Linked DNA regions of Saccharomyces cerevisiae S288C. The gene in region 3 interacts genetically with the main gene of each other region. Each region holds a gene or a part of one and is shown on either strand. Other genes may lie near its edges.

The links.
Region 1: mutations in CNB1 (region 3) and KEX1 together harm fitness more than expected from each alone (negative genetic interaction), as found in Saccharomyces cerevisiae (3 studies listed by BioGRID).
Region 2: mutations in CNB1 (region 3) and ERD1 together harm fitness more than expected from each alone (negative genetic interaction), as found in Saccharomyces cerevisiae (3 studies listed by BioGRID).

The regions. Positions count from the first base shown.
Region 1 is NC_001139.9:111,604-116,482, forward strand, and holds KEX1 (serine-type carboxypeptidase), read right to left. Parts: upstream 3,062-4,879; coding exon 872-3,061; downstream 1-871. Other genes in the region: YGL204C (uncharacterized protein), read right to left, coding at 97-402; ARO8 (bifunctional 2-aminoadipate transaminase/aromatic-amino-acid:2-oxoglutarate transaminase), read left to right, coding at 4,456-4,879.
Region 2 is NC_001136.10:1,294,727-1,298,656, reverse strand, and holds ERD1 (Erd1p), read left to right. Parts: upstream 1-1,970; coding exon 1,971-3,059; downstream 3,060-3,930. Other genes in the region: mRNA splicing protein SYF1, read right to left, coding at 1-225; YDR415C (putative aminopeptidase), read left to right, coding at 496-1,620; rRNA-processing protein RRP17, read right to left, coding at 3,257-3,930. UniProt on the Saccharomyces cerevisiae protein: Required for the retention of luminal endoplasmic reticulum proteins, affects glycoprotein processing in the Golgi apparatus.
Region 3 is NC_001143.9:81,009-84,731, reverse strand, and holds CNB1 (calcineurin regulatory subunit B), read right to left. Parts: upstream 1,786-3,723; coding exon 1,734-1,785; intron 1,658-1,733; coding exon 1,182-1,657; downstream 1-1,181. Other genes in the region: HYM1 (Hym1p), read right to left, coding at 1-28; DPH2 (2-(3-amino-3-carboxypropyl)histidine synthase), read right to left, coding at 2,093-3,697.

The DNA of each region.
Region 1 (4,879 bases), on a different chromosome or scaffold from region 3:
GAAATACAAGGATTTATAATGTAATAGGGTAATGGAACATATAAGGGAGGAGAAATGATGGTGATATTAATATGCAGAAATATCGATTCCATTTTTTCAAAAAAATAGTGCCAAACTATTAAGAAGTAGCGAAACAGCAAAGGCATATTTCCACATTTCGCTTTTAGCAATATACATAACTATGGTGGCAAGATACCATGCAACTAATAACTTTGCCGCAATGACACCTCTATTTCTACTTGTTGTCGTTTTACCTCTTACTTGTTTGAACATTGCTGTTCTAAGACCTAACAATAATAGTCCTAATACAAACAGAGGGCATGCTGTTATAAGTATAAAATGTTTGCTGTAACTAATGGTGGGGGAAGATTGCAAAAAACGAAGGATATCAGTTCCATTCATTTCCAGGGATTTGTGTTGATATGTGGGGCTATGAATGCGTTGAAGTTTTCAACTTCTGTGAAGGAGTTAAAACAACCACTAAACAATCTCGTTCAAAAGCTCTAATTACTTGTATATTATTTTATACGTTTATGTCTATTTCAATGCAATTACGTGAAAAATAAAAGAACGCTACCATAAAAATGTTAAAAACTGGTTAAAAATGTCAAAAAATGGTCCGAAAACTGAAAAAATATTCGTGATACAGTTTGCATAAAAAAAAACTATTGTGCGCGATTAATATAACCTACTAGACTTAAATGACGACACTTTAATATGAAGTTCAGTAGTGTGAATTAAATAAAACAGTCAGTTCTTGATGGATTGTACCCTTTAAAGAATTTATCTTTATGTCGCTGTTACTACGAAAAGCGTGTGCGAGGTATTATAACTATTTTTCTGTATTTTTTATATATTTTTATTTGCCAAGTTAAAAATCAGTCATCTCAAAAGATTCATCGATTTCAGTGTTCGGAAGGCTAGTATACTTCTTCTTTTTCTTAGTTTTCAATTTAGATCCTGCTTTGTTAGAAGTGCTACTTATGGGTGCTCCGCCTTCTAACTGCTCATCTTGTTCTAAATCATCTTCTGCCCCGAGTCCGCTTTCCAGATCATCTGCCCATGAAACTGTCTTATTGGGACTGTCATGTTGTCTATTATTTGGATCAACTAAAATTGTGTGACGCGCTTTTCTCCTCACTCTTCTATCATACGCATAAACTCCTAAAACCACTATCAAAAATGTAACGATGGTAACTACTACCGCTTTGTGTTTATACATTGAAATCTCTTCTGCAAATTCTTCTACCTCTTCCTCTTCTTGTTCATATTCTGAAGATTTATGTCTACTATCCTCGAGGCCTTGATTACTTTGTTTTTCATTATTATCGTCTTCATCATCGTCATCGTCATCATCGTCGTCGCCCTCGGAGTTGTGATCGTCTTCATCGTCGTCATCATTGTCGTTATCATCATCGCCATCTTTATCTTTATTGCCTTCTTTTTCCTTTCCTTCCTCATTCTGCGCTTCCTGTTCTTCCTCTTCGAGGTTTTCTTTTGGCTTATCACCGCTTTCAGTAGTAGCATCTTGATCACTATCGTCGTCAGTAGTAATCATAACATTTTTCCCATTGTTGTCAATGATCATAACATCGTTCGAGTAAATATCGACAATGCCTCTACTCACTAAACTTTTATCGAAGGGTACCATGTGAGAAGCATTATAAACGCTAACAAACGTCAAATTTCTATCATACTTCACGTATCCGCTAAATTCTTCGCTGTCGTCTGTACTCTTCGATTTATGGATCCAATCGAACGAAACAGCATCGTCGCTAAATCCCTTTATTCCACCCCATTTTAGATTGTCTATAGTATCTAATACGCCCTTGTTATTACAAATCAAGTCTTTGTCACCATTGAACAAGACAATCTCTATTCCACTTTCAAGTAGACCAGGTAATAAATGGATAGATGGCTTTGAAATAGGATTAGACAATTTAGTTCCAACGCTATTAGTGCATTCCTTCCAATGATCAATTTTATCAGAATCAAGATGCAACGAATCAATAACACCAGGTGTGCTGAAGAATTTACTGACAAAGGAAATATCTTTCGGCCAATTCATACCACAAGATGGATAACTATCTTTTAAATTGAAGTTATACATGTTCAAGCAATCCGCTGTTCCCTTTTGCGAAGATTCCCTGGTATAAGACAATAGAAGGTTTAAAATATTCTCACATTCCTGATACGAAAAATGGGCTGCCTCATCTGTACTGGCAGAGTTTATCAGATTCTGGCAATTCTCGTGTGCGTTCGTTAAGTGTTTGAAATTGGGGTTGCTTTCATCAATCAGTTTCTTCTCCATAGCAAACGGAAGGTACGATAGGGACTGTGTATTGGGGTCAATCCAACCGTTACCAATCAATAGCGCCTTCAAGTCGTATGTATCCCCGTCGATCTTTGAAAATTTGTTATGGTTCAAAATTGCATTGGCAAAGAATGGTATGTATTGGCCAGCGTAACTTTCACCCGATAGTATGATTTTCCTAGTGAGGTCTTCTGGAAAAATCTTGAAATAGTTCTCCAGAAAATCCATAAAATGCTTGGTCACATCTTCTAGGTCTTCGTCAAATTTGTTTTTGTCGATTTTACCTTCGTCTTTATTTTGTTCGACAGAAAACCCAGTACCAGTAGGTTGGTCGATAAATAAAAGATCGCCTTTGGATATCCAGGACCCTTCATTTAGATAAAGTTTACCGTCTGAATTCACCCTAAAAGGGCCGGATTCGACCAAGGCACCATCCATGGAAGAGCAACCGGGTCCACCATTTAACCATATAATTAAGGGACGGTCGACATTGCCATTAGAGTCGTTATTGGTAAACTTCCAAAAAAAGTACTCCAAGTCAGAGCTATCCTGTTCATCCGCATCTTCGGAACGTAAAGGAATATGGCCAGCATGCATCTGTGGAATATTTGAAGGGTCTGGCACTTCAGATAACCCTGGCAACAGCTCATATGCCACTTTGTACTCCTCAGATGACGGAAGGGATACTGAGATCCTTATTAAAGCAGACATGGCTAGCCACGTTCCGAGCCACCTATTGTAAAACATCTATTCAGGTCTTTATCTCTACGGTATTCTATAGCCAAGGTACTCTTTAACCAAAGTATGCTTCAGCAAGCTTTTTCAAATAGATGGGAGTTGAAGACAATGATAAGAAATCGCTTTTCTTAATGTTTCCTATATTATCAAAATATTCCACTTTTTTTTCTTTTTCCACATTGTTTTTCGGTTCCGGGCTGCAGTAAGCAAATATAAATGTTGGTGACAAAACTTGAAAGTTATAGCCAAAAAGCTCGCAATTCCTCACCTAACAAAATGATCCTGTTGGAATAAAAATCAACTATCGTCTATAAACTAGTAGTCACACTACCAGTATATTATCATATACGGTGTTAGACGATGACATAAGGTATGAGAAACTGTCATCGAAGTTAGAGGAAGCTGAAGTGCAAGGATTGATAATGTAATAGGATAATGAAACATATAAAACGGAATGAGGAATAATCGTAATAATATTATGTAGAAATATCGCTTCCCCTTTGAGGATTCCTCTACCCTCGAGGAGAACTTTTAGTATATTCTGTATACATAATATTGTAGCCTTGATCAACAATGAAATGCCTACAATCATCTTAAAATTCACCAATCTCTCAGCTCTTATTTAAGCTTTGTTGAGACGAGAGTTAGTTATCCGACAATACTATACAAGACATTAACATCATTTTTCGTGCTGTTAGGGTGGTGTCTTTTCATTTGTTGCAATAAATGATAAGTAGTTTACCGTCCATTAACATGTGCATTAAATAATAGCATTATGTGAACATAATGTATATTTAACTAAAACTATTATCGAAGAAATCCGAAGAACTCATCCTTGTTAGCTCAGTTGGTAGAGCGTTCGGCTTTTAAGCGCATTTGCTTAAGCAAGGATACCGAAATGTCAGGGGTTCGAGCCCCCTATGAGGAGTTCTTCTTTATTTTTTTCCCGGTTCACTATTTTTCCAAGATTAAACATGGCTCATATACACCATCCAAAAATCTCTTAATTAACCTATAACCATTGTTCTCCTTCACCTCATTCAAGAATCTGGCTTCTGAATTGCCATTGATAGAAGAACAGTACTAAATTGCGCCGGAATAATGAAGAACATCCGGGTTACCTTAGATGTCTTTTTTTCCTTTTTTTATCACATTTTTCACTCTGCACTTTTTCACTTTCTCGAGGTCCAATCTATGACTAATATTAAGCGCATTTCATTTGAAGATATGTGTATCGCAATCTTTTTTCTTATCTTGTAGACCCTCCTATACACATCTCTAGACTATATATTTGGTTTGGTTATATCTTTAAGAACTTATTTCTTTTTCTTATTTTTCCATTCCACTAAGTTAAACCCTGCAGTTGATACAGACATTGAATAGGACAACCGATCGTTACTATCATGACTTTACCTGAATCAAAAGACTTTTCTTACTTGTTTTCGGATGAAACCAATGCTCGTAAACCATCCCCATTGAAAACCTGCATCCATCTTTTCCAAGATCCTAACATTATCTTTTTGGGTGGTGGCCTGCCATTAAAAGATTATTTCCCATGGGATAATCTATCTGTAGATTCACCCAAGCCTCCTTTTCCCCAGGGTATTGGAGCTCCAATTGACGAGCAGAATTGCATAAAATACACCGTCAACAAAGATTACGCTGATAAAAGTGCCAATCCTTCCAACGATATTCCTTTGTCAAGAGCTTTGCAATACGGGTTCAGTGCTGGTCAACCTGAACTATTAAACTTCATTAGAGATCATACCAAGATTATCCACGATTTGAAGTATAAGGACTGGGACGTTTTAGCCACTGCAGGTAACA
Region 2 (3,930 bases), on a different chromosome or scaffold from region 3:
CCATATACTTGTATCTGTTACAAATTGTGAACAAAATCTTTCATATAGCCACCTAATCTGTTTGTCAGTTCTTCCCTCCTCTTTCCAATACTCGATATATCTTTTCCATGTAAGTATGTTCTGCGGTGTCTTTTGTATTTCGTACTCAAAAGCCACATCTTCATCATTTCTTATGTTCTCATCGACGTTTGTTATTACTCCTTTCATTGCGATGTATGCTGACATAGGATATATGGACACAATAAGTTTTGCGGTACTGAAGGATAGTTGAGTCCAATATGGAGGCCTGATTATTTCCTTTTTTTCTATCTATTTCCTTTTGTATTATTTTGACTGAAAAGCTTGCCAGCGTCTTTACTAAAATCTTTCATATGTTCGGACCGCTATAGTAAACTGAAACTTGATATTCAATAATTATCAATCTTCGAAGCTAAAGAAATACAAAATCTTTATTCGAAAAAGTAAGTAACATAATCAACCGCTGATTAGCACAATATGAGGATACAGTCGCTTTTTGTTTTATTTAATGTTGCCATCATCGCATGGTCATATCCATATGAGCCTTTAAGGGTTTTACAAGTAGGAGAGAATGAGGTAATGGAGGTTCCCGAATCAGAAAAGCTAAACTTACGAAGAAGAGGTGTCAAATTCTTTGATGTGACCAAACACACTTCTTTCTTACCTTTCTTTAACAAGGAGGAAGAGCCAACAGTACCAACGTATAACTATCCTCCTGAGATATCGAACAAAGAAGTAGTGGATGATTCGATTAAGAATATAGACAAGGGCTCTATGCACAAGAACTTGGCAAAGTTTACAAGTTTTTACACCCGTTACTACAAGTCCGATCACGGCTTTGAATCTGCCGAGTGGTTAGCTGCAACTATCGCTAATATTACAAAAGATATTCCGCAAGATACGTTGACTATTGAACATTTTGATCACAAAGAATGGAAGCAATATTCAATTATAGTCCGTGTCACGGGATCTACTACGCCAGAAGATATTATAATAATTGGTTCTCATCAAGATTCTATCAATCTGCTACTGCCATCCATAATGGCAGCTCCAGGTGCGGACGACAATGGGTCAGGCACGGTGACTAATATGGAGGCTCTCAGATTATATACGGAAAATTTTTTGAAGAGAGGATTTAGACCTAACAACACTGTGGAATTTCACTTTTATTCCGCCGAAGAGGGGGGATTGTTGGGTTCTCTTGATGTTTTTACAGCTTATGCCAAACAGAAAAAGCATGTGAGAGCGATGCTTCAGCAAGACATGACGGGATATGTTTCTGATCCAGAAGATGAACATGTGGGGATTGTCACCGACTACACTACTCCCGCATTAACTGATTTTATAAAACTAATTATCAACTCTTATCTATCCATTCCTTACAGGGATACACAATGTGGCTATGCTTGTAGCGATCATGGGAGTGCCACCAGAAACGGATTTCCAGGCTCCTTCGTGATTGAAAGTGAGTTCAAAAAGACTAACAAGTATATTCACAGCACCATGGATACTTTGGACAGATTAAGTCTCGCTCATATGGCGGAACACACAAAAATTGTATTAGGGGTAATCATTGAACTCGGGTCATGGTCCGCTTGGTAAAAGTCAGTAATATGCATACATAACTAATGATGCCTTACCTTGGTGTTCTTTTGTAATATACCTAAACCGATATCACGCTAGTATTTATTTCCCGAATTTTTTTGGCGTATTTCGTCATCTGAAAATAACATAATCAATGAAAGAAATAGAGTCAGTTGCAAAAAGTGCAAGCCAGCGCTAACCGCTCCCGATTTAGTCGCAATATTGATGGCAAACAGTACCAAAAACTGGTTACCCATATAAATTGTTTGGCATTGTTATTATTGTTATAAATTATTATTGTTATTATTATAAATTATTATTAGTATTATACAAAGTTTTCAATTCTGCAACAAGTTGGGCCGCAAAATATGGAGAAAAGCGAAAGTAATTCTGAAGGACTTTATCTCCAAAATATATTAAATGTTCCCCCTCCGCAGCGATTTATTGTGCTCATAATACTTGCCCTTTGGATCTGGACATGGATATTAAAATTCTTCTTGCATAGTAATTTAGACGTATCCCAAGTCATACTCACGAGAGTACCGCACGATATACGTCCAGGTTATACTCTACAGCAATTGCATAGAACAGCTAGAAATTTTGCTTTGAAGATAACAAGGATTATTATACCGTTCCACTTTGCCACTGTGTTCCTTTTTGAGTTCATGAATATTATAGAAGGTCCACTCAAAAATATCATTCTCATCGTATATTTTCTACCATTGATCCAATGTGTCACTATATTTTGGTTTCTGTTGAAAGAGTGCCAGATAATAAAATATTGTACTAGGAGATGTTTGTTGATAGAATCCTCCCCCCGTTCCTTAAGGAATACCTACATTTTAATCTCTGACACGTTGACATCGTTTGCAAAACCATTGATAGACTTCACATTGTTTACCTCTCTAATTTTTAGAGAACCCTTCACACATTTTGATCTATCCGTAGCCCTTCTTCCTGTACTGGTAAGACTACTGCAGTGTTTGAGAGAATACCGTTTACTGCACGAAGCAACTTTACTATTCAATGCATTGAAATACAGTTGTAATCTTCCCATTCTTTTTTGCACCTGGAGATCAAGAGTGTATGAGGGATCCATCAACGAAGAAAGACTACACCACGTTCAAAGATGGTTTATGCTAATTAATTCTTCCTATACGTTATTTTGGGATGTAAGGATGGATTGGTCATTGGACTCGTTAACCTCTTTAAGATCCAGATCCAAAAGTGCCGTCACATTAAAGAAAAAAATGTATCATTCGGCGATTCTCGTTGACTTTTTGCTGAGGTTCTGGTGGCTATGGGTATATTTATCGCAGAATCTGAAATTAGTTGCCGCAGATAGCGACTACATTTTTTTCCAAGGCGAAATGCAGTATTTCGAAGTAATTAGAAGAGGCATATGGGTCGTTTTCAAATTGGACGCAGAGTATTATATTAAGTTTGCAAGCAAATAATTTGTTGGGCAAGCCATATAAAATCATGCAAATGCTGTAAATATTTGTTCTATTTTCCCCGTAGAATGGTTTATTCGATATATTACATATAATAAACGAAAAATACATATGCACAGTATATACTTTTCCAAAAAAAAATCAAACACTGTTTGAGCGTCAAGAAACCCCAGGCGGTGCCCGACGATAATGCGACTGCATTATCTCCTACGCTTGTTGTCGTTTGCCTTTCTTTGGTTTATTCTTCGTTCATTTTTGGTCAAATATCTGAACTTTTTTACTCTTGGCTTCTTCTTTTGTTTCTCATCCACGCCCAGAAACTTCGCGTATTTGGTGGCTCTATTTATGCTTTGTTTGAGTACTTTTTCTGCCTTTTCTAATTTGACATTATTTAGCTGGGCTAAATATTCAAAGTTATCATTGGGTTCCAATGTCTCCAATTCAACAGTAGTTGAGTCATCGTATATTTCCGTGATTGCTCCTTTCTTCAAAATAGGCTTTACGCTACTTTCATTATTGTCGTTATCGCCGTCATCTTTATCAGAATCAAACCCGTGCCAGGATTCATCAGATTCTACCTGCAAATCCTCCGTCTTATCATTTTTCGCATCCTCTATCTCAGCTTCCAAGTTTAAACTCTCTTTAAACGTCTTTAACTGTTCTTCCATCACCTCCTTACGTTCCTGCCGAATCTTCTGTCTTTCTTCAATTTTTCTAAGCCTTTCCTGCTCCTTAATAAACTCTTGTGCTTTCTTTTGTCTTTGAAGCTTTCTCTTGTGAAAGCCAGTCAGATAATCCAAACGAGAATCCTTGTCGAACGTCACCTCATCGGTACCGAATTTCTTTGATTGCTTTGTAGCATAGTTTTTGCCTC
Region 3 (3,723 bases):
AGTCTTGATTTTTGTATTTCTTAAACATTTGTCTTCGATTTGCGGATAATTTATACTGGGGATTACGTGCAATAAGCCTCTTACGGATAACACGTATTCTTTGGCTTAACTACTCCGAGATTAAATCGTATTGTTAAAACAAGAAGCTATCAACGCCTGTAAATATTGTGTCAGTGCCACTTTTGAAACAATTCTGAGACCACTTTTTATTTTTATTTTTCCAAGAGTGCAATCAGCGGGTTTCCTCCTTATTTGCGTTTGGAGCAATCTTCCCTTTTTCGAACACAAAATCCAAAATTTGGAGCAATTGGCTCTTCAAAATCAACGGTACATGCTCCTTATATTGGTAATAAATAATTCATATCCAGCCTCCTCTTATGGCTGCATAATGGAAAGGATCAACGCTTGCAACACAAAAATAAATTAAAAAAAAAAATTACTGAAGGATGCGAGGTTCGAACTCGCGCGGACAACCGTCCAACAGATCTTAAGTCTGCCGCCTTAGACCACTCGGCCAACCCTCCATACAAATTTTACTTACTGGAAACTCCCGAAGTGTTGTCAACACGTTTTAGGATATGAACTTATCCAATAAACCAATATCACAGTTTAACTTTATTGGAATAGGAATCAAAGATGGTCTGTCTCCTAGCATTAGTATTGCTGGTAATTATCATATACGGTGTAAGAAGATAGTATGATGATTGAGAGATAGTCATCGGGTTTAACGGAAGCTGATATGTAAGGATTGATAATGCAGTGGGATAGTGAATAACAACACATAAAACAAAGAAGAAGTAATAATCTTAATTTATATAACTATTGATCCCCCTTTGTGCATTGCCATATTTTTGAGGAAAATCTCTGGTATTCTGTATGTCTGATATCAAAGCTATTAATAACAATGGAATCCCAAAAATTATCAAAGTACACCCCGCAGTTATTACATGAGATCAGCTTCCATCTTGGTATATCTCGTCGCTGACATATATGCTCTCTCTCATCTCTATGTTGTATCATTGCTTTCTTATTGTTTGTTACATATACATATATATATGTATATATCATCAGCACTCTAACTGGGCGAGTGTGCGTTCCTTCCTTAAAAAACAATATCGCGTATTATTCTTCTTTTCTTAAAAATATTGGCATACCATAAATGAATGAAGTGTCCCCTAGTCTTACACATCGTATTGCAATGTCAGACTCTTGGCCACTTCTGTGGTTTCGATAGCATTCTTAAACTCCTCGAAACTTAAACGTCCGTCGCCGTCGCTATCGTTTTCCACTATCGTCCTATCTACTATCTGTTGCAGCTGTTCATCGTCCAGATTAGAACCTACCATAATCTTCAACACGATGAACAACTCACCATTGGATATGAAACCGTCCTTGTCAATGTCGTAGATTTTGAAGGCGAATCTTAACTTTTCGTCCTTGGACCCACGCCCACTGAAAATGGATAATCCTGTGATGAACTCTTGAAAATCCACGTCCCCACTATTATCAGCATCGAAAACCTCCATTATACGTCCAGCAAGAGGGTTTGACGAAACGCCAGGAATGCTCATAAATTCATTTTTATCAATAGACCCTGAGCTATCTCTATCTAATTTCATGAATCTCTTCCTTAACCTTTCAATTTCATCTCTATCAACTGTTCAAAGTGTCAGTGTTAGTAAAATCGGTTAATTTCCCCTTTCTTTCTTTTCCTCACTCCGAAGTGTACATACAATTTGTATCTTCTAAAAGACCATCCACAATTTTGGAAGGAGCAGCACCCATTTTAAGAAATAAAAATGCTTCTATGGATTCTGATCACCATTGAGTTACCAAGTTTTAGCTACTAGATGTTCCGTGTAAACCACACCAGCACAAAGCACCTTTATTGCATTCCGCTAAAAAAGAAACTAGTGATTTTTAAGATGATACCCGGCCTTCCACGCGGTCACTTCGCACGGAATGTATATCCCATTTTGGCGGCTAATTTCCAAGGCTTCCATATAAAGAGTTAATTGTTTTATTATTAAATAGTTTATTAGTTAAAATCTTGGATTTAAATAGAGAAGTCGAGGGAAACAAATTATAAGAGTCATTTGTTTTCCTTTTTCATAGCGTCTTCGCGATCAAATCCATAACCACGTGCGACACCGGAAATACCTTCTTCGATATCCGCTCCAGTATTATCAACCTCAGTAGAGTCGAAATCGCTTCCTAGACCTTTCCACGAACGATTCTGCAGTGCTGATGCTGAAGTGGATACAGTACCTTTAATGACGGCACCTGAGGCGGTATGTCTTGTAGTCAGTTGTTTGGAATCGTCGTCGTCGGCCGCCTCTAACTCCAGGTGCGTTAGCGCTCGCAGTGGTCTTGATGTGCTAGTATATCTTCCCCTAACTACATCAAACTCCGGTTCATCGGAAGTTGTGCTGGCAGAGATGGTATCTTGTCCGCCCAAATTCTGCTCGATTTCATCAATGGCGTCTCTGAAGTCCACAACCCATTTCCCGGTCCATGTGACCTCTTCGCTCAAGGCCAAGTTTAATTCATAAGGTGTAATAATGGGCTTGTAAAACTCGTTGAATTGATCAACGATGATACCGCTTTGGCTACAACCGAGAATGCACCAAATATCAATATCTTCAAAGTTTGCTAGCTTGGCCACATTTGGCTTTCCGACAACAAATAAATAGTGTTTTTTCTCACGAGTTTTGATAAGCTTGACCAGCTCGTTGATAGTTTCTCTTGTATTACGTAGCGACAGCGTGTTGACCAGAATACCTATACATCCCGCTGTTCTTGCCACATGCATGTACTTGTAACGCCTCATTAGAGAGGGAAATGGCCCCGTTACCATGCCAGGTAAAGCCGGATCGAAAATATGAACAGATTGAAACACAGTAGACAAATACAGTAATCTCGGATCCTGTGGGGTGGTCAAATGGAAAAGATGATAGTCCTCGGGCGAGATGTTGTCTGCTTTGTCGTGCTGACCAAACAGCACGCTATTTTTTTCGAACACACCCACCTGGTCTACGTCTTCGGGAACGTGAAAGGTGTCAAGTATGGTTACGAATTTTTCTTCTACCGCAGAGGTGTTCACTTGGGAATATATGATATTTGTGTAGTGCAGGTCGCCCTTCAAAATATTGTACAGCTGTGACAAATGCTTAGAGAAGGGTGCGTTTGCCATCAAACAAATTTTGGAGGATAAGTCTGGGAATGCCCTCTGAAAGTTCTCCACCACCAGTGCCAAATCCAAAAATGGAGTTCCGAATGAGTAAACCACGGGCAAGTTTTGGATGGCGTTCAAACATGCGTCACCAAAATGTACCACGACTTCTGCATGTACGTGTTCAGCAGCGACCTCGTCTACACAGCATGCACTGTACGCTGTGTCAGCTAAAACCCAAAACTTTATCTTCCCATGGGGAAATTTCGATTGCAGCAGCCTTACTATCAACGAGGAGTCCTTGATTAAATCGTCAGGAAACTGCAAGGTCACGTTTTGGTACTCCGGGTGCTGTTCCAGATAACCCACGAGAGGCTCGACATTGTAATAAGCCGAGATAAGTTGCATAAGCTCATCGCTATTATAACATGGCCCCAAGTATGAAGACCTGTCAATTTCATGTGTCTCCACCTTCTGAAACGCCACGTCCGACTGAGTAGTCGATAAGGCCGGTGCAACTTCCATTTTTCAACCTTTGCACGATCTTTCAA